Linked DNA regions of Struthio camelus. The protein of the gene in region 3 purifies or fractionates together with the protein of the main gene of each other region. This does not show direct contact. Links are inferred from orthologs where the notes say so. Each region holds a gene or a part of one and is shown on either strand. Other genes may lie near its edges. The genes, in order: PAK1, GRK2, GIT1 and ARHGEF6.

The links.
Region 1: the proteins of GIT1 (region 3) and PAK1 purify together in Homo sapiens (affinity purification with mass spectrometry; 6 studies listed by BioGRID and IntAct, with this or other methods). This does not show direct contact. The link is inferred for Struthio camelus from reciprocal best matches to the Homo sapiens genes GIT1 and PAK1.
Region 2: the proteins of GIT1 (region 3) and GRK2 purify together in Homo sapiens (affinity purification with western blotting; 4 studies listed by BioGRID and IntAct, with this or other methods). This does not show direct contact. The link is inferred for Struthio camelus from reciprocal best matches to the Homo sapiens genes GIT1 and GRK2.
Region 4: the proteins of GIT1 (region 3) and ARHGEF6 purify together in Homo sapiens (affinity purification with mass spectrometry; 3 studies listed by BioGRID and IntAct, counting the BioPlex papers as one, with this or other methods). This does not show direct contact. The link is inferred for Struthio camelus from reciprocal best matches to the Homo sapiens genes GIT1 and ARHGEF6.

What each region holds. Positions count from the first base shown.
Region 1 is NC_090942.1:220,589,034-220,596,916, reverse strand, and holds the start of PAK1 (serine/threonine-protein kinase PAK 1), read right to left. Parts: upstream 3,003-7,883; 5' UTR 2,935-3,002; exon of another isoform or gene 2,882-2,934; intron 1,668-2,881; exon of another isoform or gene 1,552-1,667; intron 1-1,551. UniProt on the Homo sapiens protein: Protein kinase involved in intracellular signaling pathways downstream of integrins and receptor-type kinases that plays an important role in cytoskeleton dynamics, in cell adhesion, migration, proliferation, apoptosis, mitosis, and in vesicle-mediated transport processes.
Region 2 is NC_090946.1:3,108,003-3,115,922, reverse strand, and holds the start of GRK2 (beta-adrenergic receptor kinase 1), read right to left. Parts: upstream 3,011-7,920; 5' UTR 2,965-3,010; coding exon 2,852-2,964; intron 79-2,851; coding exon 2-78; intron 1-1. UniProt on the Homo sapiens protein: Specifically phosphorylates the agonist-occupied form of the beta-adrenergic and closely related receptors, probably inducing a desensitization of them. Key regulator of LPAR1 signaling.
Region 3 is NC_090957.1:16,988,742-16,996,204, forward strand, and holds the start of GIT1 (ARF GTPase-activating protein GIT1), read right to left. Parts: upstream 3,002-7,463; 5' UTR 2,935-3,001; coding exon 2,883-2,934; intron 188-2,882; coding exon 54-187; intron 1-53. Other genes in the region: ANKRD13B (ankyrin repeat domain-containing protein 13B), read left to right, coding at 7,267-7,388. UniProt on the Homo sapiens protein: GTPase-activating protein for ADP ribosylation factor family members, including ARF1.
Region 4 is NC_090952.1:22,989,513-22,996,832, reverse strand, and holds the start of ARHGEF6 (rho guanine nucleotide exchange factor 6), read right to left. Parts: upstream 3,010-7,320; 5' UTR 2,941-3,009; coding exon 2,776-2,940; intron 1,806-2,775; exon of another isoform or gene 1,751-1,805; coding exon 1,667-1,750; intron 1-1,666. UniProt on the Homo sapiens protein: Acts as a RAC1 guanine nucleotide exchange factor (GEF).

The DNA.
Region 1 (7,883 bases), on a different chromosome or scaffold from region 3:
TAAGCTATCCATTCCTAAAGAGCATCGCATGCCTTATACTTAGAAGGGAAGAATTGATCACAGTGACTTATGTACTGCTGACAGTCCCCGTTTGGTTGCCACTGAAGTCAATGGAACCAGGCCATTTCCATCTCTGGAAACAAGGTTTCAAAGTAGTATCCCCCCCAGGTGAGAACCAGGTAGAAGCATATGAGAGACAACAAACTGGACCAGTGATTTTCTCCATAAGAACAAGCCCTCGGTATCAAACAGAACATGTGCAAGTTCACCCCAACTCCTATACAGGTCAAGACATCAGGCTGAGAAAATGAGTCCAGTTCCTTGCCAAGCACAGAAAAAGGCTTTTTCATGCAATATGGCTCTGGCACACAATATTCTTTGGGCTTCACACGGATGTGAATGCCAATGAGACATATTCTTGTACCTGTCAAAGGACTAACAACAGACTAGGGTTTGAAGAAACATGACTTGCGCTTTCAGTTGTTTAGTCTCAGTCCATTTCTTGTACCTCCTAACAAAGAGAGGTTGTTTCTCGAAACCTTTACAGTCTGTTTGCTTCTGTTATCATCCGCTGCTGACAGGATGAACTGTAAACCCAGATCGCTTTAAGGGCGGAGCCCTGGATCATTTCTGTATTTTGCTACCTTGAAAAGTCTATTTCAGCTACAGAGGGCTCTGCATACTCTTAGGAATATAAGGGAACTAGGCTGTAACAATTAACTTTTGAAATTAGAAAACTTCCCACAGGTAGGAAGTGAGGCAAGTGCACAGGAGAGAGAAATCCAGATGCAGCTTATTCATATTAAAAGAAAGAATTAGTTAGCAAGCCAGGTGAAAGCCATGCGCTTGTAGTCAGAGCTGAGAGAGAAGATCTGTACAGGCTTAGGAAAAAAATACATAAGAATCAGTAGTAATCACACGGTTCTTTCACCTTTTCGACAAAAAAGTCGGCATCAGTTTTGGACCTAGTGCAAGAAAGGCAGTCAAAAAAAAAAACAACAATAAACAAACAATGCTTTTCCCCTTGCGGATGATGAGCTAAGCTTGTCACACATTTCTTCTAATTTCTTCTTCTCTGAGCAACATCTGAAGTTGCACAGTATTCCCTAAAGCCAGTCAAAGCATTCATGCTGTCATGGTACATGAGCACTTTCCTCTTATTTTTGGCTTTTCCAAAAAGCCCAAAATTTCCAAGTCTAAGAAAGGTAGCTATATCATCCCATTTAAAGAAACTAGTCTCTTCCCATACGACTTGGGAAAGCTAAACACTCACCTAGCTTATCAATCTCTATTTCCAAAGTACAGCATTGTTATACCACACAGGTAAAAACTAGTTCTGTCCCACGATACAAGACAAGAGCGTTTCATAGTTTAAGAGATTCGGTATTAGAACGCATGTAAAGTTCCCCTTTGCTGTCTGTTCTCCCCGCGGAGACGAGCTTTACTTCTCTGACTAATCTGCAGAAAATGCACAGGGAAAGGCAGTTTCTAAGCATCCAGCTGACACGCGCAAGATCTGCTGCACAAAGAGGAGGTTTTTTTCAGCCTTACCCTGAAAAGCCGTGAGCCAGCTTAAGCCACCTACACGCCAGGATGTTAAGAGGAGCAGGCGTGAAGATGCTCCCTACTCTGCCAGGTAGTGTGTGCAACACCAAGAAACTCCAGGTATGGAGAAGGGGGAAGTAGTTTGGCGAAAGGCATCTGTGAGTCACTGTACAAAGAGTAAGTGCAAGCAAAGAGAACAAACACTCTTCCGCCTGTGCCCAGCACACAGCCATTTCAGCAAACTCCAATACCCACTTTCACTTTGAGAAGCTTAAACAAAACTAAACAGCTTTTGCAATTAGTCTTATGCATATAAAATGTACCTATCACTGCATAACACACAAGCCTTACAACGTGTAACAAGCCCCAGCAAAGAGCCAGATTTGGACGTCTATTTATTTATCGGTCTTGTTGCTGAAGAAAAACTCCTGGAGGTAGTGCCTGAGTAAGGATCGAGTAATGCTCAGTGGGAGCAGATGCACCATGACACGCAGACGGACGGAGCCAGCTATTCCCCACAGTCATGAATGTTAAGCCCTCCGGACAACAAAAGCATCAAGAACAGGGACTGCAGGCACAGCAGAGCCGTGGGTTAGGGCATTTCCATGCACGGAGCAAGAAACAAGCCTCAGTGCCCCAAAGGGCTTGTCCTGCTGGCGCTGCCTTTCCTGCAGGCTCCCAGGAACACCCAAGAGCACCCAGAGATGTCCCTTCACAGCCACCCACTTCCCAGGCAGAAGACCCTGCTTTGAGCAGGGGGCTGGACTACAGACCTCCTAAGGTCCCTTTCAACCCGAGTTATCTCATCATCCCAAGTTCAGCTTTCCTTTTAACAGTACTTTAACAGCAAAAAGGCACGATCTGAAGGTAGGGGCGGGGGGGGGGGAAGGGAAGGGAGAGACACACGCCCCCCTCCCCATCCCTGGCCACCGACCACACAAAGCCAGGGGCTCCATCACCCCATCGCCCAGCAAAGGGTCCAGCTCTTCAGTTCTTTGTGTTTGCCTAAAGCACACGCACACACGCACACACATACACGCAGCCCGTCCCCGCTGCCTCCAGGCTGAACCAGGACAGGCTGCCTCCGCTCAGCAGAAAGTCAAGGGCTGAGCCCCGATCGCTCCCTTCCGCCCTTTGCACTGCAACCCTCTGCCCAGGGACCCTAAACCTGCTCTCTCTCTCTTGCAAAGCCTGGGCCCGGGGACAACTCCCTTTGTTAAATGAATGAACCGGGGGGGGGGGGGGGAAGACTGAGTATCTCCCTCCTTCACCCCGCCAAAAAAAAAAAAAAAAAGCCCGGTCTCTCAGCCCCTTTGCAAACTTCCCGGCTACAAACCAGCAAGCGGCGGCGAGGAAATCCCCCTTCTTCCCCAGCCCGGCGGGACTCACCTTCCGCCCGCTGCAAGGTGCCGCCCGGCTCTCCGCCCGCCGCGCCGCCCTCCAGCCGCCCCTATTGTGGGCGCGGCGCCGCCTCCCTTGGCCCTCCCCGCCTTGCCGCGGCCATTGGCTCCGGGGGGGGCGGCCGTGCCGAGAGGGGGAGTAAAAAAAAAAAAAAAAAGGGGATTTGATACCGCAGATGGACAAGTTGTACGGCCAGGAGCACGGGCCTGGTAAGGCGGTGGGCAGGCTGTCTAGATACACCTCTGTAAAACGGCGCAGTGAAACAAGCGGGTACAGCCAGAAGGGAAAGAGGCACAACAGAGCTGCCTTTCAAAGACAGCGCGCCCGCATCGGGCAAGTTAAGAAAACACCGCCGCGGTCTCGCCGTTCTCTCTCGGACCAACGTTTCTCCGTTCTATAAGCTGGTTCAGGAGCTAAATCAAGCAGAAAACTCACTCCACAGACCTGATCGAATGAATGGAGGAAAGCAGAAAGCAAGTGCAGGATGGGTACAGAGCGGGACTGCAAAAGAGCTGGTTTCGATCAGCTTAACCTGTTGCGGAATTGCACGCTTTGATGTACTCACAGCTATTAAATTAAATTTAAAATTTAATTCCGAACCATTCTCACAGATTGCACGAACACAGCTACAGCGCTGCCTGGACATAGCCTGTCATCCGGACACAACATAAAGGTTGTTAATGTCAGTGTATCAGTTACTTCACTACAAAGGCAGCTACCACCAGCCGGTATCAAGAACCCCGCAGTTAACGGGAGTCGGGCGGACGAGACTGCTGCAGGCAGGGAAGCGAGGAGAAAAGCCCACAGCTGAGCTTGCATGTCAGATGCCAAAAAAAAAAAAAGGGGGGGGGGGGCCCACCATCGGCGCTGAAGGCAAAACTGAACGTTATCTTTCAGAGCTTTGCTGAGACCTGAGGATTAACTTCCTCTTGTACCATGCTAGGTCTCAAAAAGCCTCTTAAGAAAAAAATGTGGCTGCTATAAAATGTGGATGGCTGGGAACTAAAAAAAAAAAAAAGAGTTTTGAAACATAGCAAGAGATCAGTCCAAAGCACTCGTAAACAGGCCTTGTCCAACAAGACAGTTTTAAAAATACATTCATTCAACCATTTATCAATAATATCAAGAACAATTGTGTAAGATATTCACAGCAGCTGACTTAAGGCCTGGTCCATATGCATCTGTATCAGCTCGTGGATGGCTCTAACAGCCCCTACTACAACTGTATGTAATACCTGTATAAAAGTACTTAAAGCTGCATGAGATAATATTGTACTTTAATTATAGCTGTTTCTAAGACCAATTAAAGCTGAGAAAAGACTTTATCTATACACAGGTTAACTCAATTCAGAAATTGTTTCAATGAAATCTTTGTAAATTCATCGCCAAGGGACTTCTCCAAAACATCCTGAATTGTACGCTTTTGTTCCATTGCTATTCTATTCTGCAGTAACCTGGAACCCTAAAGAGACACCGTAAAGGGATATTCTGAGATTCTGAGACTCACAGTTTTCTGAATTTAGCCAAATTTCAGCACGCCTTTGTCCCAGTAAATTGTTGGATGTTTCGGACAGAGTTCCCAAACAAAAGGAGGAAGAGGCGCTTGCAACGTCCATGCAGAGCATCAGAATGGGATATAGACCTACTACTGCCGAACAGAATTAGGTGCTTGAGAAAGGAATGAGTGAAACGCAGATCATTTTATTTGCGTTATAAGCACTCAAAGCAGAGAAAGCGCTCAGTTTTTTTTTTTTCCAGGGAAGGCTCCATCTTGCCTTGTACTCAGAATAAATTCTTATGGCCCCTTTCCAGTAAGGGGGGGGGGGAGGGTTATTTTCTTACACCTCAAAAGGGTCTCTTGTGTTCTGTGGGAAGAAGCCTGGCACCAGGCCCTAGCCTCAAAGACCGACTCTGTTAAGCAATTGATTTTAGAGCAATCATTTAAGAACCTCATTTTCCTCCACTTCAGACAGAGTAAAGTGAGCGCTCCAGCTTTGGTGGGGCATACCTTAACGATTTACTCTTTGACAGCAGTATGGGCATTGATGGTTCTTCCCCTGCTGTGTGCCTCTGCTCCTGAGCCACCCCCTGCACTGTGCCAGTACGGCTATTTGTGCAGGTAGATAATGGAAGGGATCAGGGAACTGAGCCATCTGAGATTTTTCCTGGCTGTTTTTCAGCCAGATCAAATCCCCAAATACCAGGGCTGGCACAACGCATGGGGAACAAAAGGGTATGTGAAATCACCAGAAGCTACATCTCAGCTGAGGGACAGTAACTTGCTATGATGTAATAGCTTAGCTACCTGCAATCATCCCTCCACCCCTCTAATCTGCTCTAGCAAATATAGACTAATTGGCCTCAGCCTACATGGAAAAAACTTGAGCTTATGAATGTCTTGAAGAATTATCATATATATGGAGAAAACTGATTACAAGTCTCTAAGTCTTAGTAGTCAGATAAGGATTGGGGGGAAAAAAAAAAAAAACCACACACACACACACAAAATCCTGTAATCACATATCACAGAATCACAGAATCGTTTAGGTTGGATGGGACCTCTGGAGATCATCTAGTCCAACCTCCCTGCTCCAGCAGGGTCACCTAGAGCATATTGCCCAGGATCACATCCAGACGGGTTTTGAATATCTCCAGCGAAGGAGACTCCACTACCTCTCTGAGCAACCTGTTCCAATGCTCCGTCACCCTCACAGGGAAGAAGTTTTTTCTCAGGTTCAGATGGAACTTCCTGTGGTTCAGTTTCTGCCCGTTGCCTCTTGTCCTGTTGCTGGGCACCACGGAGAAGAGGCTGGCCTCATCCTCTTGACACTCCTCTTGACATAATATACACAATTATAAAGTTCCTCTGCCAAAGGGCTCACTGAGAAGACATAGCAATAGCAAGCAAAACTGAAGGCGATAGTGGGTCAACATATTATTGCTTGGAGGTTTCTCACCCAGTAAATCAAAAGTCAGTCCAGCAAAATTAATGTTGTTATAGTGGTGTGAAGCAATGAAGACGACAGACCGTGATTCATCACTGCCCTACATATTGTATAAGCTTGTACGGCTCTGCAGAGTGTACATAAAACACTTCCAAATCAGAACAATCTCCTTTTAAGTCCATTTTGTCTCAAGTGGATTAAAGCAGTGGAAAATGTGTTTCCGGATGCAAATCTGGGAGGCACCATAGTCAATGTTTTCTCTAAATGAACATGCAAAAAAAGCATGTCAGACTGCACAGCAGCAAGAGTCCTTCGATTCCCCAACTAGTTTTAGGGGGTTTCATTGCCAGAAAACCCAAGCAGCAAAATGATGAAAGGGCTGGAACACCTGACTGGTGGTGAACAGCAAGGCCTCATTCCGGTCTTACCTATCGCTATGTTAGGCGGCACATAAAAGCTATTGCAAAGAAAACTAGAACCAGCTCCAAAACATACAAAAGTAGCACATTACGTCTGGAGCATATTTAACATCAACATGCCTTTCTTACCGTCCTGCAGAAATGGTTTAAATCTTGGCCAGTTTACATGAAGGGATTCAACCCAATCCAATTTGCTAAGACTCCCCCACCTCGAATGAGGCTGAGCACAGGGATAAGAACCAGGACTGCCATTCTAGCAAACTAAAACTGCTTTGTTTTAGCAAACCTGCCTTCAAATTACATTTGTTCTATCCTAGTAGCATCTGCAGTTTTGTCAGCTGAAATCAAAAATCCACCTTATGCATTTACTGTTTCTGCAAAACCATTTCTCAGTATTTAGCTATATATTTCAGTTGATTAATTCTGGATAAATGGTTAAAGCATCATACTAGAGATGTTCCCACATACCACTTGGCCCTTCACCTCTTGTATCAAGAAGCTTACAGTAAAGAATCACAGTGTGTGGGGGTAGTGCAGATATTTTAGTAATTACAACCTGGTACAATTTTTGAGGCTTAAATCCCAGATCATTCAGGTGCTCTTTAAGGGTTAGTTTCTTGTTGGTTGAGTTATCTAAAATTGACTGAACACTCAGAGGACTCTCCATGCCATTCCAATTTTAAATGATCTTTTACCGCTTCACTGAAGTCCTGGAATCTGGCAAAACGTCTGGTGATGAATACAGTTTTACATTCCAGAGCTCCTTTAGCCAGGAAATTGCACAGCAACAGCTAAGAGCGCTTAGTACTTTGGTAAGGAGTAAGCAAGTGAGGGTGAACACTAGGGAAGCCACAAGTGACTATCTGATTTGGGATGCCTTATGTATGTATCTCTGGAAGTCATAAAATACAGATGGGTCCATGGCTTAACAATGAGCTCAGTCTTTGATTCATTACCTAAAAGCTGAATCTGAACACATATATCTCAGTTTCGAGGCCTACTACTGATTCAGAGCTTAAAAAGATTGGGGGCGGGGGAGGAGAGTCACTGGTCTTTGCTGTAAGTTTCTGTGGAGCTGCCCTGATCCCTGGTTTTGACAGATTTTATGGCACTCTCTCAGTGAACTGAAGAGTTTTGTTTCTTGAAAAATTATGACTAGCCATTGGTAACCTTAGATAGAAAACATATTCAAATGCATGAGCTTTGAATGCTTTGGGTCAGCACTAATTCACACCAGGATGTGACTGTTTACATTTTAATCCTACAGTTTGCAGGAATCTGTGGAGAGAAATGAGTACCATGATAGCAATTAGATATTAAAGACATTATCAACGTGCTCCAAAATTAAGCATGGCACTCAAGTCAGAATTGCCTCTTCTAATCTCTCAGGTCAGTCTTATCCACGTCTCTCTACATCAGAGCTTCCTCTTACCAACAGTCTAAAAAGCCGATCCCTGTCCCTATTCCTTCCCAGACGTTTCTTGGAACAGCTAGTCCTACTCCCTCCTCTTCTCCCCTTACCCCCATGATCCCAACCTCTATCTGCTTAATTATTCACCTTGTTTTCAGAAGA
Region 2 (7,920 bases), on a different chromosome or scaffold from region 3:
CCGATCTTCTGCGCAAAGATCTTGTCGAAGGTCACCTCCCCCCGGTCCTCCAGGTACTTCTGCATGACGCTGCGGATGCTGGGGAGACGCCAGATGGGCTCAGTCCTGCCCCCACCCCAGGCCCCTGCTGCGTCTCCCGTGCCCCCGTCCCCCCAGGGCATCTCCCACGGCTCCAGGGGCAGGATACATCCCCTCGCCGGCCACCCCACCTGCACGCTTGTCCCCAGGGACCCCGGTGCACCTGACCCCTGTTCTGTCCCCGCCATGACACCCTGCTGGGCCTTGGTAAGGGGTAGCCACAGGGTGCCCCACGCAGGGAGGGCCAGGGAAGAGGGGCCCAGGCATCCGAGGGCCCAGCAGAGGCCCCCTCCACCTCCCCAGGGAAACTGAGGCAGGCAGGGCTGCAGGGTGGGAGCTGAACGCCAGGCACGGGCGCCACGGTCGGCCCAGGACACCCGGGTCTGCGAACGCCGGAGGGAAAGCGGGGCCCAGCAGCGGGAGCGTGGCGGGCTGGGACATTGGGCTGCCACGCACAGCAGGCTGTGCACTGTGCTGCGCGGGATGCGTGCGCCCGACGCCCCGCACGCTGGGCTTTGCTGCCGGCCGGGCCGTGCATGTGGCGCGCGCCAGGCTGTGCATGGCTGTGTGCGCCTGCCCGGCTGGGCGCCGGTGCCTGGGCAGGCCGGGCGTGAGAAGGGAAGTTGCAAAGCGGGTTGTGTGGGCAGAAGTGGGGTGTGTGTGTGTGTGAGATCGACACGCGTGCGGGGGCGGTGTGCACAGCAGAGAGCATCACAACTCTGCGTGCGTGTGAAGGACAGGGGGCTGGGGAAGTGTTTCAGCAGAACCAACGTGTGAGTCTGCACGTGCACCGGCTGTGCACTCTGTGTGTGTGTGTGTGCAAGTGTGTATGTGCATGCATGTGTGTGCAGCCCAGCCCTGGTGCACTCTGCACAGGTGTGCACGTGTGTGTGCATGTGCACAAGTACATGCTTGTTCAGGAGATGCAAGGCTCCAGGACTGTATGCGTGCGTCCAGGCGCTGCAGTTTGCATGTCTGGCCAGGGACACGTGTGTTGGGACAGTGTGTTTGGGTGTATGAGCAAGAGGGGCATGCACACGCATGCACGGCTGAGTGACATTGCACATGCACATGCACATGTGTTTTTGTGTGCAAGAGGTGAGTGTGCTTATGTGGATGTGCCCGGAAGGAGGCAGGGTGTGTGCACGTGTGCAGAAGGTGTGAGCGTGGGTGTGCTTACACGCGTGCAGGTGTGCTCAGGTGGTGCTTGTGTGGGAGCACAGGTGTGAGCACACGCATGTGCGTGCCCCCAGCTGCACCTGTGTGTGTACACATGTGCGTGCCTGGGAGGATGCGTACCAGAGAGGTGTGTCTGTGTGTGCGCAGGAGAGGTGTGTACCCGGAAGGATGCATACCGGAGAGGTGCGTCTGTGTGTGCACAGGAGAGGTGTGTACCCAGAAGATGTGTACCAGAGAGGTGTGCCAGCATGCGCGCCTGTGCGGGCGCGCGGACGGTGCAGCCGTGCCCGTGCACGGCGAGGACAGAAAGGGGAACTGCAGGAGCAGGAAAGTCTGGGGGCCAGACAGGCTGCGGCAGCGCAGACCGGCGCCCCGCGCCCCGTCTCCCTCGCCCCACCGGCGCTGGGCCCCGCTCGCACGTACCGCGCCAAGCTCAGGCTTGCACATGCCGCACTGAGCTCGCACACACCAGGACACCCTTGCACATGCTGTGACACCCTCGCATGAGGAGCCCTGCTTGCACAATGCCAGCGTGTGCTCTGCCACACTCGTGTGTGCCTTGCTGCCCTGGTGCATACTGTCCCCGCGCGCTGGGCTCTGCTTGCATGTGCCAGGCCATGCTTGCACGCGCTGCGCCACACTTGCACACGCTGCAGCCTGCTTGCATGCGCCAGGCCCTGCCTGCACAGGCTGCGCTTGCAGGGGTGGCATGCTGCCTGCACACCCTGTGCCACACTTGCACGTGCCAGGCCCTGCTTGTGCACACTGTGCACTGTCTGCTTGGGCCAGCCCCGCTTGCCCATGCCACACGCCTTCTGCGCTGGGCCGCACTTGTGCAGGCCAGCCCTGCTTGCATGCACCAGGGCACGCTTGCAGGCCAGGTCACCTTACACACACCAGGGCCACAGTTGCAGGCCAGCTCTGCTTGCATACACCAGGGCACGCGTGCATGCACTAGGGCACGCGTGCATGCACCAGAGCACGCTTACAGGCCAGGCCAGCTTACACGCACCAGGGCACTCTTGCACACACCAGGGCACGCTTGCAAGCCAGCCCTGCCTGGGCACGCCAGGACACTTGCACACGCCAGCTGCGCTTGCACAGGCCGGGGCACACTTGCCCACCAGCCCTGCTTGCCCACCAGTCCTGATTGCACACGCCAGGGCACTCTTGCGTGCACCAGGGCACTCTTGCAGGCCAGCCCTGCTTGCACATGCCAGGGCACTCTTGTGCGCACCAGGGCACGCTTGCCCACCAGCCCTGCCTGCACACACCAGGGCACTCTTGCAGGCCAGCCCTGCCTGCACACGCCAGGGCACTCTTGCACGCACCAGGGCACTCTTGCCCACCAGAACTGCCTGCACACGCCAGGGCACTCTTGCACGCACCAGGGCACTCTTGCCCACCAGCCCTGCCTGCACACGCCAGGGCACTCTTGCACACGCAGCTGCACTTGCACAGGCCGGGGCGCGCCTGCCCACCAGCCCCGCTTGCCCGCGCCAGGGCAGGCCGGCGCCCGGGCCCCGCTGGCACCTGCCCGCCCTGCTCGGACGCGCGTGGGGCGCCCCGGCCGCGCCGGGCCCGGTGGCCTCACCTGGGCTCGGGCAGCAGGATCTTCTTGCTGGCGCGGGCGGCCGGCGTGGCCTTGCTCTTCTCCATGGCCATCAGGTAGCTCACGTCGGCCAGCACCGCCTCCAGGTCCGCCATCTTGCCGCGGCCCCCGCCCCGCCGCCGCCGCCGCCGACCCGGCCCGGCCCCGCGGGCGGCCTGGCCCGGCCCGGCTCGGCCCGGCCCTGGCGGCGGGCGGGGGGCGGCCCGGGGCGGCGGGGCGGCGCGGCCCTCAGCGGCGAGGCCCCCGGCGGCGGCGGCGGCGGCCCTGGGCGGCCCTCAGCGGCGCGGGGCCATGGCGGGGCGGGCGGCTGCGAGCGCGAGTGTGAGTGTGAGTGAGCGCGAGCGAGTGTGAGTGAGCGCGAGCGCGGTGCGTGAGCGCGCCGGCGGGCCGGGTGCCGGTGCGGCGGCGCGGGCGGCAGGCGGGGCCCGGGGCGGCCCTGCCCCGCCGCCGCCGCCTTCCGCCTTCCGCCTTCCGCCGCCTTCCGCCGCCGCCGCCGCCCGGGACCGCGGGAGGGAGCGGGGGGGCGGGGGGGGACGGACAGCGGGGGCGCGTGTGCGTGTGAGTGTGCGTGTGAGTGTGCGTGTGAGTGTGCGTGTGTGAGAGTGCGAGAGAATGTGTGTGTGAGACTGAGTGTGTGTGAGAGAGTTTGAGTGTGAGAGTGTGTGAGTGTGTGTGAGAGTGAGAGAGTGTGAGTGTGTGAGTGTGCGTGTGAGTGTGTGTGTGTGAGAGTGTGAGAGAATGTGTGTGTGAGACTGTGTGTGTGAGAGTGTGAGTGTGTGTGAGAGTGTGAGTGTGAGAGAGTGTGAGTGTGAGAGAGTGTGAGAGTGAGTGTGTGTGAGAGAGTGTGAGTGTGAGAGTGTGTGAGTGTGAGTGTGTGTGAGAGAGTGTGAGTGTGAGAGAGTGTGAGTGTGCGTGTGAGTGTGAAAGAGTGTGTGTGAGGGTGTGTGAGTGTGAAAGTGTGTGTGAGAGTGTGTGTGAGTGAGAGTGTGTGTGAGAGTGTGTGAGAGTATGTGTGTGTGTGTGTTAGAGTGCAAGAGAATGTGTGTGTGAGACTGTGAGTGTGAGAGAGTATGTGTGAGTGTGTGTGTGAGAGTTTGTGAGTGTGTGAGACTGTGTGAGAGTATGTGTGTGAGTGTGAGACTGTGAGAGTGTGTGAGAGAGAGTGTGTATGTGAGTGTGTGTGGGTGTGTGTGTGTGAGAGTGTGTGTGTGAGACTGTGTGTGAGAGAGTATGTGTGAGTGTGAGTGTGTGAGAGAGTGTGAGTGTGAGAGTGTGAGTGCGAGAGTGTGTGTGAGACAGTGTGTGTGAGTGTGTGAGATAGTATGTGTGAGTGTGAGACTGTGAGAGTGTGTGAGAGAGAGTGAGTGTGTGTGTGTGAGAGTGTGTGTGTGAGAGTGTGAGTGTGTGAGTGTGTGTGTGTGAGACTGTGTGTGTGTGTGAGAGTTTGTGTGAGTGTGTGTGAGAGTATGTGTGTGAGAGTATGTGTGTGAGTGAGACTGAGTGTGTGTGAGTGTGTGTGTGAGAGTGTGAGTGTGCATGTGAGTGTGAGAGTGTGAGGGTGTGTGAGTGTGAAAGAGTGTGTGTGAGAGTGTGAGTGTGAGAGTGCGTGTGTGTGAGAGTATGTGTGAGTGTGTGTGTGTGAGAGTGCAAGAGAATGTGTGTGTGAGAGTATGTGTGAGTGTGTGTGTGAGAGTATGTGTGAGTGTGTGAGAGAGTATGTGTGAGTGTGAGACTGTGAGAGAGTGTGTGAGAGAGTGTGTGTATGTGAGTGTGAGACTGAGAGTGTGAGAGAGAGTGTGTGTGTGTATGTGAGTGTGTGTGTGTAAGAGAGCGTGCATGAGTGTGTGTGTGTGTGTGTAAGAGAGTGTGTGTGCATGACAGCAGGGGTGTGTGAGTGTGTCAATGTGTGTGTGAGAGACCAGGTGTGTGAGATAGTGTGTGTGTGTGAGACACCGTGTGTATGTGTGTGAATGTGTGTGTGTGTTACTCCAAGGGTGTGTGTGTTTGAGACACCGTGTGAGTGTGTGTGAGAGACGCCGTGTGTGTTTGTGTGTGTTTGTGAGACACCAGGGGTGTGGGGGTTTGTGTGTGAGAGAGTGAGTTTGTGTGACACAACTCACACACTGTGTGTGTCTCTGTGTGTGACACCATGTGAGTGTGTGCGTGACACTTGAGTGTGTGCGTGTGTGTGTGCGAGAGACACCAAGTGTGAGTGAGATGCCATGTGTGTGGTGTGTGTGTGTGAGAGTGACAGCAGGGGTGTGTGCAGGTGTGTGGGGGTGCGTGAGAGAGACCGGGAGAGTGGTGAGAGACACACAGGGGTGAGTGTGCGTGCGTGTGTGTATGTGACAGCACGTGTGACACCGAGACAGCCGCCCTGCACGACCTGTGCCGCCGGCGGGGCCGCCCTGCTCCAGCTCCGCTCCCGGCTTCCTCCCAGCTTTTAAACCGAGCCCAGCTGAGGGGTGGGAATTAAAAAAACAAAACAAAACCCCAAAACCCCTTGTGACAAGCTCATTTCTAGGGAGTTTGGCGCGTGGGGAGGGCCAGAGGTGCCAGGCCACCTCGCAGGCCCGGGCAGCGCGAGGGGCGGCAAAGGCGAAAGCCTGGGCGCAGCCACGCAGGCGGGAGCAATGACGCTGGAGGAGGTTTCGCTTCCTTTTAGCCGGCCTGAGGCAAACCTGGCAGCGGCAGCGCGGCCGCCCCGGCGGGTGGGCTGCTCCCGGGAGGGCTGCGGCGGTGGAAACTGCTGGAGATGGGGCAGAGTCGCCCACCGGACCCTCAGCTCCGCGAAGGCGAGGACCGAGAGAGGCGGGATTCAAGCGCCGTGGATTCGGCGCTCCCCGAAGGTTGCTAGCCTCGGGAATTGGGCGCGGAGGCACGCCGGCTCCCTCCAACAGGATGCTTTTCTGGAGAAGGACGAGACCCCCGGGCAGGAGGAGGGTCCCCGGAGGAGGTCGGGGCGGCGCTGGCGCGCTGAGGATCGGCTACAATACGTATCATAGCCAAATGGGCAAGTTGGGGCTGGTGGTTTGAGCCCGAGAGGAGACCCCCCGGTTGTGCGGGAGGAGCAGCCGGGCTGCCTCCAGCAGCGTTTTACGTGCCTCGGTTTGAAACGACGCGTGGAAGCAAAATGCCTTTGTATATCAAAAAGGAGGGGAACGACCCAGCTGCCCCCAAAGCAGGCTCGAAAGGGTTTGAAGGGTGACGGGAGACAGCAGCAGCAAGAGAAACCCGAGGCAAAGGCAAGGGGGCATCCCGCTACGGTGCAGTCGCAGCGCGAGCTCTTCCAGCCCGCAAGCTGGTCCGGGACGTCCCCAGCAGTCGAATGGGGGCACCGTCGGCAGCCGGGAAGGCAGGAAGTGCCTTTGCTTTGCCAGTTTGACCGTGCGTTTCGGGATAAACCCCTGCTCCAAGCAGGGCCGGTTACAGAGCTGTGCCAGCTGTGGTGCAAGGCGCTGGCAGGGCCAGCCCCAGCTGCCAAGCAAACGCGAGCGGGTGCTCGCGGCCGCATGCAGCACCAGGACGCGGCTCGACCCGCCGCCAGGGCGGGGGGCGAGCGGCCGCAGGGGACCGTTCCCCGCCGCCGCCGTCGGGTTCCCGCACGGGAGCCCGGGCGTGTGACTAAGCCCCGCGCTTCCTCTCCACCCAGCTCGGCGCGGCAGAGGAAGCCCCAGGGCCGGGCGGCCGCAGAAGCTGCGGCCTCTCAGCCCAGCCCAGCCCAGGCCTCGGCCTCTCCGCTCCCCTCTGACTCGCAGACAAACAACGGGCAGAACCGAGACGCAGGGTTATTTTTTTTTCTTTAAATTTTTATTCCAAAAATCCACCCCCAAGAAACAAAATATTTCCCTTCAGAGGCTGGTATCTTCCCTCCCCTCCCCCCCCAACATCTCTTCCATCCCTGTGGTAATCTGTTATGAGCAAAGATCCTCTCTAAAACCAGTATCGGAGAATGCTTAAAAAAGAAAAAAGAAAAATAAAACAAAAAAAAGCCAACTAGCTCCCCTCCCTCTGCCCTCAGACAAGAAACCCCCCAACCCAAACCATACCGACTGAGAGAGCGTAAGACTTGGTTTGCTTTTACCCTTAATGCTTACATTTAATTTTAAAGCACAAACATCAGAGATGGACTCTAAATCGCCAACAAAAAATATATATTTACAATATTTCTCCGGGGGGGAGGGAGGGGGGGAATCGAAACGAAACAAAAACACAACCAAACCCTTAAACAATAGTGACTTCTGTTGCAGGAGTTGTCTTTAGGGAGCAGTCTGGGTTGTTTTTAAATCACTAAGTGATTTTTATATATATATAATTCTTTTTTATCTTCTTCTTTCCTTGTGAATTTTCACCCCTCGCCCACCAAGGGGGCTGGGGTGGCCAGTTAGGTGACAAGGGTCGCACCTTGATTTCGAGTCTCTGAAGCCCCAAAGGGGGGGGTGGGGGGGGATGGCTGCCCCGGGCACCCTGCCCCTCCCCGGCTCAGCTCGCCTCGTCTGCCTCCCCGTGCTGCCCCAGAGTGGGGGGCTGCTTTCGCTCGGCCCCGAATGCGCGTGTAAATAGAGACGCTCGCTTTCCTGGCGGAGGAAGCCCAACGCCCGCCCAGCCTGGGAAGCCCCAGGGCTGGCCCAGGCCCCCAAGCCAGCTGCCCTCCCAGCTCCCGCTAAGTTTTGCCCCAACCTTTCTTCTTTCTTGTCGTGAAACTCAAAATCAATCCAAAGGAGAAAAAAAAGAAAAGAAAAAACAAAAACAAAAAATAAAAACAAAAAAAACACCAAAACTTTGATTTTTCGGCTGTTTTTCACAGGAGCCACCACCAAGAGAGACTAAGGCAGGCGGCTTCTGCTGCCCGGCCACGAGCAGAGGGGCTGGCACTCTTGCTCTTAGTCTCGGGGTAATTTTCTACTCGAAGCCCTCCCGATTCATTGCAGCAAAACACCCGTGTACTGAGGCACTGCGGAAACCCTCACACTCACATCTCCCTTCTCCACCTCGCAGCGATGGAGCAGGCTCTCGCCGGGGAGGGCGGAAAGCGCAGACCAACCCCTCGA
Region 3 (7,463 bases):
GCGGCGGCGGGGTGGGGGGGGGCCCGCGGCCGGCGGGGGCCCGCGGCACCCACCTGCAGCAGCGTGGCGGGCCAGGGGCTGTGGCGCAGGTGCTTGACGATGGAGATGTGGCGGCCCAGGCTGCGGTGCACGCTGCAGCACTCGTCGCAGATGAGCACGCCGCGGTTGATGGAGGCCCAGCCGGGGTCTGCGGGGGGCGCGCGGGGCGTCACAGGGCGCCCTCCCCGCCCCGGCCACCGGCCCCCCGCTGCCCCACTGCCGGCAGAGCCGGGGGGGGGGGGGGATGCAGGGGACCCGTTGCCATGGAAACCCGAAGGTTTCCCTAGCTACCGCTGCGGGCTCAGCCCATCGCTAGGGAAAACCTGAAGGTTTCCCTTAGCAACATGGCAAAATGGGTTGGGGGGGGGCAGGATTGGGCCGAGCAGGGGCTTTGGCGGGGGGGGAGGGAGTCGCACCCACCAGGGCTGCCCCGAGCTGCAGCTCCGGCGTGCGCAGCTCCGGCAGGCCCCGGGCGGCCGGCGAGCGGCCCGGCGCGGGGGGCAGGCGGGGAGGGGGGGGCAGGTGCTGCGGCCCCCTGCCCGCCGCCGGGCCCCTTCCCCGGCCGGGCCGCCCTTCCCCCCCGGCCGGCCGGACTGGAGCCCTTTGTATCCGCGCGAGAACAAAGGGCCGTTTGAGCGGCCGGGCGCTCCGGCTCCGAGCTGGCACCGGCGGACGGGGGGGGGGCCCTGCCCGCCTCGGCCCTTCGGCGCCCGCTCGGGGCCCGGCGGCGGGCGCACGTGCAGCTCCCGACGCCCGGGCGCTGGCCGACGCGAAGGGGCCCTCGGCGCGCCCGGGCCGCCCCGCAGCAGCCAGGACGCGGCCGGCGCAAGGTCACCGCGTCCCCGGCGGGCGGGAGCCTCCGGAGCAGCCCCCGCGGCGGCCGAGGCCGCGAGTTCGGGAGCATCCCCCCCTCCCGCCCGGCAGCAGCCCCCGCAGGGTGCCCAGGCCCAGCTCGGCGCTGCCCCTCTGGCCCCCCGGGGCCGCTCTCGCGGCCGCAGCGGGACGAGGACCCGTTCCCCTTACCCCCGCGGAGGAAGCCTGGCGGGCGGCGATGGAGCCAGCCCGCCCCGCGCTTCCTTCCTGCCCCGGCAAAAGGGCGGCCGGGGTCGCCGGCACGCCGGGCCCCTTCCCTCCGCCCGCGGCGGGTGCTGCCGCAGAGCTGCCCCCGCCGCCACGGGGCGCCGGGGGTCCCCGGGGCCGGGGCGCCGTGCCGCGGTGCACAGCCCTCGCCGGCGGCCTGGCGGCTCCGCGGGCGCAGATGGCGGAGCCTTGGCAGCCGGCGCGGCCGCATCTGTGCCCGCGCGCGCTGCCCGCGGGGCGCTGCGGGAACGGCCCGCCGCGCCGGCGGGCAGAGCCAGGGAGGGTCCCCGCCGCCCCCCCCGCCCGGAGCCCCTGCGTTCGGCTTGGCCGGCCGGCGGGCTGCACCAGCGGGGCCCGGAGAGGCGCCCGGCGCCGGCGGGGACCACGCCGGCACGGCGCCCCGCGCGATGCCGAGGGCGGCATCCGGGGACGCGCGGGCGGCGAAGCGGCGGCGTGCCGGGCGGGCAGCCCGCGGCGCTCTCCCCCCGCGCCGGGCGGTGGGACGCAGCCCCGCTGGACTTTATAACTCATTTCCTCCCCTGGCTGCCGGGTGATAAGAGAGTGGAAGAAACCGGTTCCCATTTCGCTGCGCCGGGAGGAATCCTTGACGCACGGCAGGCCTGGCGGCGATGCCCCCGTCCCCCGGACTCGCCTGCCAGCGCAGGGAAGCGCCCCGACCCGCGGGGCTGCTCGGCTCCCACGCGCGCCCGGCGGCTCTCCTGGCAGGATCCGGCCCTTGGCACGCGGCCGGAATAATTCCAGCACACCCTTCGCCCGGAGGCAGCTTTCCGGGCCCGGCTCCGAGCGGAGCGAGCCTCGACGCTCGGCCCTTTTCATTCATTAGCTCCGCGCCGCGGAAACGCGCCTGGGCCGGCGGCGGGCACGGCGGCGGGCGGCAGCTCGGGGGGCTGCCCCGGCCCCCTCCCCGCTGGCTGCGCGGCGTGCCGAGCACCGGGCTGGCATCCGGCGCGGGGGCTGCCGGGCACCGGCGCAGCCGGGGACGCGAATCGTCTTGCCCAGGCTCAGGCTTCGGCTTGCAGCGCGGCCGGCGCGGGCCTGGCGCAGCCCTGCGCGGCGTCGCCCAACCTGGCCCCGGCCGGCTGGGGGTGCCAGGCAGGAGCGGGGGGTCGGGCAGGAGCGGGGGGCCCCTCGGCAAGCCGGGGGGAGAGGGAGGGGTCCCCCCACGCTGCCACTTGCAGGGTCCCCGGTGCTGCTGGTGCAGGCCAGGTGCGTCCCCAGCCTGCAGCAGCAGCCCCCGCGCCCGGGGGGTGCAGAGGACTGGGGGGGGTCGTGCACTGGGGGGGCTTTGGGGTGCACTGGGGTCGCAGCAGGGCCTTCCGGGGGCGGGGGGTTTGCTGGTTAGGGCTCACTGGGGGTACATTAGGGGTATACCGGGAGATTCCTGGGGTGCAACACGGGTGCACCAAGGGGCTCCGCAGGGGCACGCTGAGAGCACACCAGAGGGGATGCGGGGGCACACCGGGGGGCTCACCGGGGGGGAGGACGGGGTGCCCCGCGGCATGCAGGGGGGGGGCAGCGGGGAGAAAAAAGGCTGCCCCGCGGCATGCAAAGGGGGGGGGGCAGCCGAGGGCGCAGCGCGGGGTGCACCACGGGGGTGCGGGGGGGGGGACACGGGGCGCCCCGCGGCGTGCCAAGGCGGCTCACTGGGGCGGCAGCGCGGCTGCACCGCGGGCTCACGGCGGCGGCGAGCCGGGGCCGCAGCGGGCCGGGGCCGGCGGCGGCGGCGGCGGCGCGGCCCTTACCTGGGGCGCTGCAGTCGGCGCACACCTCCGCCCGCTGCGCCTTCCGGGACATCCTGAGCGGCGAGGCGGGCCCGGGCCCGGGCCTCTGCGCCAGCGTGCGGCGGCGGCGGCGGCGCCGGGCCCGCCGGGGGCGCCGGGCCGGGCCGGGCCGGGGCGCGGCGGCGGCGGGGCGCGGCGAGGGGCCCGGGGCCGGGGCCGCGGCGCGCCGGGGCTGCCGGCTGCTCCCAGCGCCCGGCGGCTCCGCAGGAAGCGGCGCAAGCCCGGCCCCGCCGGGGGAGGGGCAGCGCCGCCCCCGCCCCGCCGCCCCCGCCGCCGCCGCCGCCGCCGGCACCGGCACCGCGGCACCGGCCCGGCCCGGCCCGCGCGCCCCCGCCGCCGCCGGCCGCGGGCCTCTGCGCCGCCGGGCTCGGGCCTGGGCGCCCCCCGACCCCGCGGCTGGGCACCGCTGCCCCGCTCCTGCGCACCGCGCCCCCGCTTTTGGCACCGTCCCGGACCTGCTCCTGCTGCTGCTGCTGCTCCTGCTCCTGGTCCCAGTTCTGTGCATCCCCCTGCCCTGCTCCCGCTCCTGCTCCTGGTCCCGGTTCTGTGCATCCCCCTGCCCTGCTCCTGCTCCTGCTCCTGGTCCCGGTTCTGTGCATCCCCCTGCCCTGCTCCTGCTCCTGCTCCTGGTCCCGGTTCTGTGCATCCCCCTGCCCTGCTCCCGCTCCTGCTCCTGGTCCCGGTTCTGTGCATCCCCCTGCCCTGCTCCCGCTCCTGCTCCTGGTCCCGGTTCTGTGCATCCCCCTGCCCTGCTCCTGCTCCTGCTCCTGGTCCCGGTTCTGTGCATCCCCCTGCCCTGCTCCCGCTCCTGCTCCTGGTCCCGGTTCTGTGCATCCCCCTGCCCTGCTCCTGCTCCTGCTCCTGGTCCCGGTTCTGTGCATCCCCCTGCCCTGCTCCCGCTCCTGCTCCTGGTCCCGGTTCTGTGCATCCCCCTGCCCTGCTCCCGCTCCTGCTCCTGGTCCCGGTTCTGTGCATCCCCCTGCCCTGCTCCCGCTCCTGCTCCTGGTCCCGGTTCTGTGCATCCCCCTGCCCTGCTCCCGCTCCTGCACCTGGTCCTGGTTCTGTGCAACCCCCTGCCCTGCTCCTGGTCCCAGTTCTGTGCATCCCCCTGCCCTGCTCCTGGTTCTGGTTCTGGTCCTGTGCATCCGCCTGCCCTGCTCCCGCTCCTGGTCCTGGTCCCGGTTCTGTGCATCCCCCTGCCCTGCTCCCACTCCTGCTCCTGGTCCCGGTTCTGTGCATCCCCCTGCCCTGCTCCTGGTCCCGGTTCTGTGCATCCCCCTGCCCTGCTCCCGCTCCTGCTCCTGGTCCCGGTTCTGTGCATCCCCCTGCCCTGCTCCTGGTCCCGGTTCTGTGCATCCCCCTGCCCTGCTCCCACTCCTGCTCCTGGTCCCGGTTCTGTGCATCCCCCTGCCCTGCTCCTGGTCCCGGTTCTGTGCATCCCCCTGCCCTGCTCCCGCTCCTGCTCCTGGTCCCGGTTCTGTGCATCCCCCTGCCCTGCTCCTGGTCCCGGTTCTGTGCATCCCCCTGCCCTGCTCCCGCTCCTGCTCCTGGTCCTGGTTCTGTGCATCCCCCTGCCCTGCTCCTGGTCCCAGTTCTGTGCATCCCCCTGCCCTGCTCCTGGTTCTGGTTCTGGTCCTGTGCATCCGCCTGCCCTGCTCCCGCTCCTGGTCCTGGTCCCGGTTCTGTGCATCCCCCTGCCCTGCTCCCGCTCCTGCTCCTGGTCCCGGTTCTGTGCATCCCCCTGCCCTGCTCCTGGTTCTGGTTCTGGTCCTGTGCATCCGCCTGCCCTGCTCCTACTCCTGGTCCCAGTTCTGTGCATCCCCCTGTCCTGCTCCTGGGCACCATCACAGACCTGCTCCTGATCCTGCTCCCAGCCCTGGTTCTGGTCCTGCAGGCCCTCCTGCTCTTGGTCCCAGGCCTGGCCTTGTTCCTGTGCACCCCAGCCCCAGGCCTGACATCCTCCCATTCCTGGGCACTGTCCTGGACCCGCTCCTGGTCCCGGTCTGAGCCCCAGTTCAATGAACACCCCTGCTCCTGGCCTTGGTTGTGGTCCTGTGTACCCCAGGTCTTGGGCATCATCCTGGTCCTGGCCCTGGTTGCAGTGCTAGGCACACCCCTGGTCCTGCTTCTGGTCCTCAGCACCCCCTTCCTCAATACTGGGCACCCTCCTGCTCCTGGTCCTTGTCCTGGCCCTGGGCACCCAGCCCTGGGCACCCCTCTTCTCTGGGTCCTGGTGTCAGCCCTGGTCCTGTGCACCCCCCTGCTCCTGGCCCCAGTCCTGTGCACCCCAGCCCTGGTCCTGTCCCCCACCCCAGGCCCGGCCATAGCCCCTGCCCTGTGCACCCTCCCCAGGGCCCAGCACCAGCAGTCCCCCGTGCCTGGGCTGGTTGGGGGCCGAGGGGAGCCAGGACACCGGGAAGGGTCGGCAGCGCTCTGGCCCCTGTCCGCGGCGTGGCTAACGGCCTCGGTTCCCCATCCGGAGGTGGGGGTGGCCCCCACCCATGGAGACCTCTGAGATGGATGAACCTCTCCAGGGCGGTGCAGGGCCATATGGGGCCAGGCTCCCTGCACCACAGGGCTGCGCACGAATGATTTGGGTGGGGGGGATGGATAGAGCAGAGTCTGTTTGGGGTCCAGTCCCTGCTCTGGGATCCTTTAATCTCGCAGAGTTGGGGGACACTCCCGAAACCCCAACAGGCCTCTGTGAGCAGCCGGAGGGGCCCCGAGCTGCCGTGTCCTGAACATCTCCTGCTGCACCAGGGCTGGAGCAGCTTCCTCGCCCCGCGCCCAAGTGGGGCTGGTGGCTCGGCCCCAGCTTGGCCGAATCCTGCCGTCCAGCACCACCGCGGGGCAGGCTCCGTGGCCCGGCCGGCGCGGGTGACCTCACTGCTGGTTGCCGTGGAGATGGCTTATGACGTCATAGGGCACGGAAGCCGCGGGGAGCACAGGGCGGATGGGGATGCTGCACGGGGATGCCGGCCACCCCGGCCCCGGGGAGCAGGCAGCGGGGCTGGCGCAGCGGAGGAGCTGGCTGTGCTGCTGCGGCTGTGCTGTTCCGGCCACAGCAACGGAGAATAATAACAATTTGCATTTATTCCTTGGGGCTGTTCCTATGGCGGGGGGGGGGGCGGGGGGCAGCTCAGCAGGAGCGGGGGCAAGGTGGCGGCGGGCCGGGTGGGCCAGGAGCCCCGTGCCGGGGGCTGGGGAGCTGGGCACCTGGCAGCAGACCCTTCTGGGCCCTTCCTGCATCCGTGGGGCACGCCGTGGGGCAGGCATCCCTGCCCGGAGGACGGGAACGCCGTGGGGCGGGTGTCCCTGCCTGGAGAATGGGAACGCCGTGGGGCAGGCATCCACGCCCAGAGGCCAGGAATGCCGTGGAGCGGGTGTCTCTGCCCGGAGGATGGCAATACCGCGGGGCAGGTGTCCCTGCCCGGAGGACAGGAAGGCCGTGGGGCACGCGCCCCTGCAGCAGAGGGGAACGGCGCCGGGGCCGGGAGCGGGGCGCTGGCAGGGAAGGCCGGAGCGCCGCGCCGCGCCGTGCCGGGAAGGCCCAGCCTCGCATTGTTCTCCGGCAGCAGCCGGAAAACACGACTCCCGCCCTGGAGAAACGCAGGCGGAAAAGGAAACGCAGGGGCAGGGGCCGCGGGCCTGGCCTTTCGCCGAGCCGGGGGGCCACGGCGCGGGGGGCCATTTGGCACCCACCGGCACAACCGCCTGTCCCATGGCCCTTGCCGCCCCCCCATCATGTGCCAAGAGCCGCTGGCTCACTGGGGGGGGGGGGGGGGCAGGAAAGGGAGGGAGGAATCAGCTGGGGGTGGGGGGGATCTGCTGGGGGGATCGGGGCCACCGCGGTGCCCCTTCGCGGCCACCTGTGCACGGCCCCATGGCACGCAGGGGCCGGGGGCAGCGGGGGTCCCCGGGGTCCCAGCGGGTCTGGGGCTGGGGGAGCCCCGGGGCGGGGAGCGATGCCGGTGGGAGGAGGAGGAGGAGGAGGAAGGTGACGCGGGCAGGGGGGACTACAAGTCCCATGAGGCCGGGCGGGTGCGGGGGGGTGCCCGGGCCGGGGGGGGGGGTCCGCCGCGCTGCGCTCCGCCCCGCTCCGCCCCGCCGCCCCCCGCCGCCCGCTCCGCCCCGCTCCGCGCCCCGCTCCGCTCCGCGCCCCGCTCCGCCCCGGGCCGCCCGCCCCGCTCCGCGCCGCCCCGCGCGCCGCCCCGCCGCCCCCCGCGCCCCGCTCCGCGCCCGCCGCCCCGCTCCGCGCCGCCCCGCGCCCCGCTCCGCGCCGCTCCGCTCCGCCCCGCGCCCCGCCGCGCCCCGCCGCGCCGCCCCCCGCGCCCGCCGCTCCAGCATGCACGGAGGATGCTCGCGTCTTGCTCAGGCAGGAAGGGGCCGGAGGGCAGGTACCCGCTCCACTACCTCGTCTGGCACAACCGCGCCCGCGACCTGGACCGGGAGCTCAGCGCCAAGCAGGTGGGGCCGCGGGCGGGGCGGGGGGGCGGCCCGGCTCGGCTCGGCTCGGCTCGGCTCGGCTCGGCTCGGCCTGGC
Region 4 (7,320 bases), on a different chromosome or scaffold from region 3:
TCCTGTTTTCACTTGGTGCTCTAATATGACTGTTACTAATATTTCTGGTACCATGAAAAAACAATGAGAAATTATTTTCATTTGGCTGCAAAATTTAAATGCAAGCTTGAGAGATTTGAGCTTTTATTTAGCTTTAGAGGTCTACTTTCGATTTGAGCTTTTATTTAGCTTTAGAGAACTGAGAAGGGGCAATCACGTGCACTATGAAAGTAACTGAAGGCTCAGAGTATTTCAACGATTACGGGGCTTATAAATCAGAAAAACAAAAATTTGGAACTCTTTTCTTAAAATAAAACCAAGAAAGAAAAGGAACAAGTACGATCAGAGCTGCATCCAGGGCTGGATGCAAAATATTGCCCATCCCTAGTATTTGAAAATTGTGAAGTGGGGCTGCAGTATTTCAGGACCAGATTAAAAATTATGAGATTTTAAAGCGTGACAGAGTTCAAGACTGTTCCCTTGACTTGTATTTTTGCAGTTTGATTCCTATTTTTAGTGTTTTCCACCACAACAATTATGACTAGATCTATTTTTTAAATAGAAAAATAATCTCTCTGAAAAACTGAAAAAAAATCACATGGTCAAGTACCAGAAGACTGGCAACACTGATTTCTGATCTGATAGCCCTTCAGTGATTCTATATGTGTCTGCTCTTAAAACTAGGCTGCTGCAGTAGGCTTTTAGCAATGGATTAGTGGGAAACAACAGGCTAGTTAAACACTTCTGGAATGAAGGAATTTTCATGCCGGCTAGCTAAAAAGAGAAGAGTGTCTCTTTTTGCTTGTTTAGACCTCCAAAGGAAAAGCACAGCAACAGGGCTGCCATGGGTTCGACCCTCTCTCACTGTGGTGCATAATTTTCTGTAATGCCCAAGGATGCTGTTCCCTACTTCTAGCGGAATTTATCTTCAGAATATATATATATATTTTTTGTAATGTGGATAAAACTTCAAACAAGTTAGTGACAGCTCTTAGATACAGGGTCCTTTTTACTGTAGAAATTTAAGGGTTATATCAAAGTTTTTAAAAACATTTTAAATGCATGTGCATTTGTAAAAATATAACGGCAAAATTATCTGAACTCTTAAGTGATGCATTTGGACTCTGTTCTTGTAAATACGAACGATGATTAGGCATAAGAATCATACAGCACCAGGAATAGCCACTGAAAAGTTATCTTTTGTCTACAATAGGATTATTTGTATGTATAAGGACCACTTCATATGACGTATTTGGCAGAATCTCTCTCAGTGCTTGCAAATGGATAAAAATACTGCAGTATTAAGAATATTTCACCTTTATACTAAAGCAAGGCTAAAAATGGCAAGCCCTTGTGGGGGAGGGAAAAAAAAAAAAAAAAAAACCAAAGCGGTCAACACAGCTCAACTGTGTTTAGACAGAATTTCTGTTATCGCTGTGTATATTTCTATGTGACTGTTTAGATTCCTCTCAAAGTCTTGAAGGAATCTGTTAAGCTCACAGTCAAAACACTCCATTTCCAAATTCTCCAGCCACAATATTACATTACCCACATTCTTATTCACGTTCCCGATACAAAAGATTAGGAATGACTACCTGCCCCTCTGGTATTTGGCTTCCTTTTAGAATATATATTAAACAAGCACATTATGAGAACAAAATAATGTGAAGGATACTAGTTGACTTACCTCCACTTTAAAAACTGCACAGCCTTTTAGGAACTCTTGAATATTACTGATGCAATCAGCTTCATTTTTAGGCTCCAGACAATACTAAAGAAATAAAATCCACCAAGATCACTATGTTACCTTCTGCACAGCCTCTATTCAGAAGGCCTGCATGAATATTGACATGTGCGTTTTATATTGAATTAGGGAAGCTTCTTAAGGGGGCGGATGGGGGTGGCAGGCAAGCTGTCGAACCAGGAAGAAAGAGCCACCGGAGGAAGTGATGCATAAATCGAAATGGTCGGCATCTTGTTTTGAATGTCAACATACGACAGTGCCCTAAAGCGATAGTGGGAAACTGATGACCTTTAAGAATGCACTGCCCCAAACCATCATATATAAACAAGAGATAAGTAGCTAACAAAAGTGATTTTTGCTTTTTAAACAAAGGCACCTATTTTACAGGGTGGGGACGAACCTGCTTCTTCCTTTAATTAAAACAGATTCTCTTCTGTGCTGCCATTTCCTATCTCTCATCACACTCCTTCCCCTTTTTTCCCCACAGTTACTTATCACTGTTTTGGACTGCACACACATATGCCTAGCAAAACCCTAATACAAGGTTCTCAGATGGCTTAAACTGCTTCAACATAAACGTATTTGCTTGACTTGAAACAGTTCAAAATGGCACGGATGCAAGGTTCATTTACTTCTAGCCTCATCTTGCTCTCCCCAATGTACTTCCTGAATAGCAAGGTATTTTACAGTGACAGTTCCAAACTATATTTACTTCTATAGAGACAAACCACACATCCATCTGTTCAAAAATAAGGTGTTTTTTGACTTTTGGTAGGCCTAGTATTTCCTCTGCCGCTGAAAGGAACACCTAAGTCGCCAAACTACAACCTTCTGGGTTTTTGTGGATGTTAAAGAGAGAAAATCAAAAACCGAAAGCTAGGATCCTACTTTACCCTAAGTTAGATTTAACTAGTAACTTAAACATGTTGATCTTGCTGATCTTCCTCACTCATGCTACCTACCAAAGAAAACCATATCCTATAATAAGCAGTGCACTATTTCACCAAACAGCGCTCTAACTTCAGGCTAGTGAAACGTATCTAAAAAGTTACCTTTTCTGCAGATCCTGGAAGAAGGCGATTAATGAGTCTACAAAGCACTATTCCATCTTTCAGAGAAGTTTTCAGGAACTCCTCTGGATCCTCTACTATTTTCTTGGGAGAATTCAAAACTCCTAATGAAATAAGCCATGTTACAATTTGCTCTTCTGGATTCATTGCTGAGAGTTCTGCCTTCACTGCACTTCTGTGCAACAACTCGCTCTAACCCACATCCGTGATTACATCTTCCTGCCTCTTCTGGCGCGTGCAGGGCTTAAGAGTGAAACGACTTTTTTTCACTGGGCACTGAAACTCACTGAATTTTAAGAACCAGAACTATAGTTACTCTAAGGTAGGAAACGTCCTTGTACAATGGTTTACAGAACTCTGTTACTTCAAAGGGATATAGTGAAAGCATACCTACTACACATTTTCAGCATTTCTGAAAACAGAAGTATTCTGTGCAGATACTTATATTGTACCAAGGTCTTACCTAGTTACTTTCTCCTTGTGACAGATGTCATTCTACAACCTGGTAAGCTTGGTCTTGTGGCTATTGTTCAACAAAGTAAAGGTCAGTATTTCCTAGTGCACTGCAATATTTACAGTATTAAAATTGTATGTTACACTACAGATGATTTGGGGGGAAACATGCCATGCAAGCTTTTAAATAAAATTTAATTTTTAACTTTCTGAGGTAAAGTCTTCATTTTAAATCACTGCCATTTTACAACAGTTTTCCATTTGCAAAATCTGATTATGATTCTAATCACGCATTTGTCAAAATCTCATTTTTTTCCTCAACTATTTTATACAAGAAATAAACATATAATCCAAAATGTTCTTTTGCAAGATTACCATCTGTCAAAGCAAACATCTTGGGTAACTGTGAAAACTTCATAAACCAAATTTAAGTCTTTTTTTATATGAAGCAGAGAATGAAAATTTCCAACTATTTTACTTGTCCCATTAAAGCGTCCCTTTCTACAAGCTCTCTACAGGATCTACTGCATGAGGATAGAGTCGTTTTAGGAATTTTTTACCCTGCTCTAGGGTAATATTAGCCAGCACTACTGGTGATGTTAATTTAGTAGAGTCCAGTCATCTCACAGTTTTCCAACTGTCCTTTCACCAACAGACAGAAAACTACCATTTTCTAACCAACTCATGACTCCTAAGAAGTTAACTAGAGCAACAGGGATAGAAAGCAATGAAACAGGAAGAAGTAACTATCCTAGAGACCAAAAATTCTCTGACAATGTTCTAAATGATAAATCAATTCCTGAGCCTGTTGCTTGAAGCAGCTGGTTTCAAGACATCAGCTCTCTTGAATCGCTGAGGCTTATAATTTGAGGTGTAGGGAGAAAGAGAAGAGCAAAAGGAAAAAACTACATGCAAGGTATGTGTTGTTTTGTGTCCCCACTTTCCAGGTCCTACGACTGGGACATACCTAAGGATCATTTTTAATAGCTAGTAGTAAGAATTCAGAACTGCCCTTTTAGGTTTAGAGATTTTTGGCCACAGGATGTTGGGATGAATTCTGTTTTATATGAAAATACTAGTAACACTAGCAGCTGCCAGAGTGAATGGTTAACACTGACTGAAGCTAAATCACAAAACTCACTGCCATCTGGTAAAGTTCATCTATAGCTATCCGTATGTGCAGAAAAATTTACTTGAAATTTATAATTAGAGACCCTCAAAACAGTAGGCTTTTTTAAAGTTCTCATGAGCAGTACTATTTTGTTTGTGGAAGTGCATACTTGCACTCTCCACTTTCAGAGCTTGCCTTTTCTCAAATCTATAGTAGGCAAGATAATTGGCAATGCTCATTCATATACTGTGGCCCACCATTCTCAAATGGAAGACATCCACTCCAGTATTCTTGATTAGAATCCACCGGCTTCTGATGTAGAGCACGAGAAGTACTTCAAGGAAGGGAAAAATCCACACCTGCTTCATTAAACGCGGTACTACAAACCTGAACGCCAAAGAATACTTTGCTCATTCCCCCCTCCAAAACAAGTATCTAACCTTTCATTTTTTGGCAGACAGTCTTAAGAGTTCCATGCCTGTTCTGCATCCATCAGTTGCAACTATGATTAAATGAAAATACCTCTGACGTGCTGGACACGTACCAACAGCTCGAAAGACTGACCCAGAGCCATTTGCTCTCTCACACATTCAGAAAGCCCCCAAAACATATGGTACTCTAACTACTTTGAGGCCAACTTTTACATCTTTCAGAACATCAGGATCCCACTGAAAATGTACCGATGTTTTCACCTCTTCTCACTGGTGAAGTAATTCTGTGGCAGAACCACGGGTATCGAGGTAGATCCACAAAGTGAGGAACAGTTTCTTGTTTGGTCTTTCTTTGGAAAAGTTATCATCTCTGATCTCAACATTAGCTATCTGCTGACAGGGACAAATCAAACGAACTGTCAATCTTCTCATGCAGAGTCAACCTTCACCCCTAAGTTACCAATAAACTTCTATTGCAGTCTGATTCAGACAATGACTGATAATGACGATAGTATTAGCTTTAGAAAAGCATGTTGGTCTACAATCTCCTTTTAAACTAGAGACTTTCAAGAACGTAATTTGAGTCAGCGCATAAGCTAATGGGAATGCAGCACCAACATGATCTATTTACCATGTTAGGCAGACGTAATTTTTGTTCATACAGTAGCTCGTGTGCTGGGATTGTATTTTAGGCAGCCGCAGCCAGACGATAAACTACGGCTAAAAAGGCGTCTTTTAATAGCACAGCATATCACCATTCTTGAAGAAATGAGGTGCATTCTCTAAGACCTCTTCATAACAATAAACTTCCATTACTGTATAATAATGGTAACTATTTCCACCACGTACGTGTAGCTAAGAAGCAAGGAGTTCCTTAAACAAGCTAATAATGCTTTTGTTTAACAGTAAGTTTATTAGCCCTGGAAAATAATGCAATTCTGTCCATCGCCTTGCTACATACAGGAAGACGCACTCCCTAGAGTTTGCAGTCCATAACTGAAGCTCAAAGTGAGAGTCTTACCCCAAACCCAAAGGCAGTTTTAAATTCTTTCAGTAAGAAATGCATGTTTTCTTTTTAAGCTAATCCTTATAGACTAGGTGTTGTTTAAATAAAATCAGTTTATGTCTACAGTACAAGAAGTCAATATAAACTTTATTAGCCATGACTGTGTAAAGATTTCCATCAATCTGTAGTTAGCTTTATGAAAAAATGATGACTGAGGATTACTCTCGTATACATTGGCACATCAACACTTATGAGGGTATGAATGCACCAAAACCTAGGTAAATTAAGAAAACATCTTGTTTCTATAGAACGGCACATGTATAAGTAGTAGTAACGCTGGCTGGAGTTTTTCTGAATACTATTCTGGGGATTTATCACAAATATGGTTTTATCAGCACTTCCTTCCTCCCATCAAAAAGGCTTGAACAGTTATACCACTGTTAATGTAAAAATGTCATACAACTTTTATCGGTCTCTTTCTTTGTGAAGGACACCCTTTTCCTCTGCATTTTGGAGGGCTCAAACTCACTTTTATGAAACTTGCTCCTTTTTTAGCACACAACAAAAGCACCCTATGTGAAGAGCACCGCTGGAATGTTCTTCTGCTGCACAATCCACTGATGCATGTATACTGACTAAAAAAAAAGGGCTTACTACTTAGAAGAGGTTAGCTGCAGAAACAGCAACTGGTTTCCACTTATCTGAGAGCTTACATCCAAGAGATAAGTAGCACTACTTTCAGATGCAATTCCTGAATGAAACACAGCCCTCTAAAACAAATACTGGTCAACATCGTACTCAAAGCCCAAGTTTTATCTGTTGTATTTTGTTATCCTTCGATTTTCCAACACATCTCCACTGCTCCAGTGCCTTCTTCCAGTCCCCATAACTGAAAAGAGGAAAGTCAAGTTAGTACACTCTCAGAAACCAGCAGACAGACAAAAAGGCTAAATAATCTTTGAGTTGATCAATGTATTTATACATGCACAATGCAGACATTTGGGTTGTTTTCAATTTGTGCCAAGGGTATGAAAATACATCAGTACTTAACTACAACAATCGAAACAGTCTGAGGTCTACCTGTATTCCTATTGTACAACAGCATCTCCGGGGGGAGCACCAAGTAATTCCAGGGTACATCCCTTCAAAACTGCCACCACAAAATCCCACTGGCTCTCCCATAATAAACTGGTATGCACATACGCACATCTGTAAATAACGTTGTGGTGTGAACTGAATTAAAAACGCAATTATTATTGCTATCAACTTAGGATCAAGAAAAGGCAAATAGCTTGCTGAATTAGTACAACTACATCCTTATTTTTAGTAAGACAGTATTAGCTTTCCTGCCATGCAGTCCGTTAAGTACTATCTACCACTCCTTAAACTAACATTGTCACCTTTCCTGTTAGAAAATTTAGTAAGGTTTATAAGCTGCAAAGTAGGCTAAAGAAGTGTAATTTTATCTTGAATATCTTTATTAATTACAACACGGTCCACTAAGTACTAATCCATAGTAAAACAAA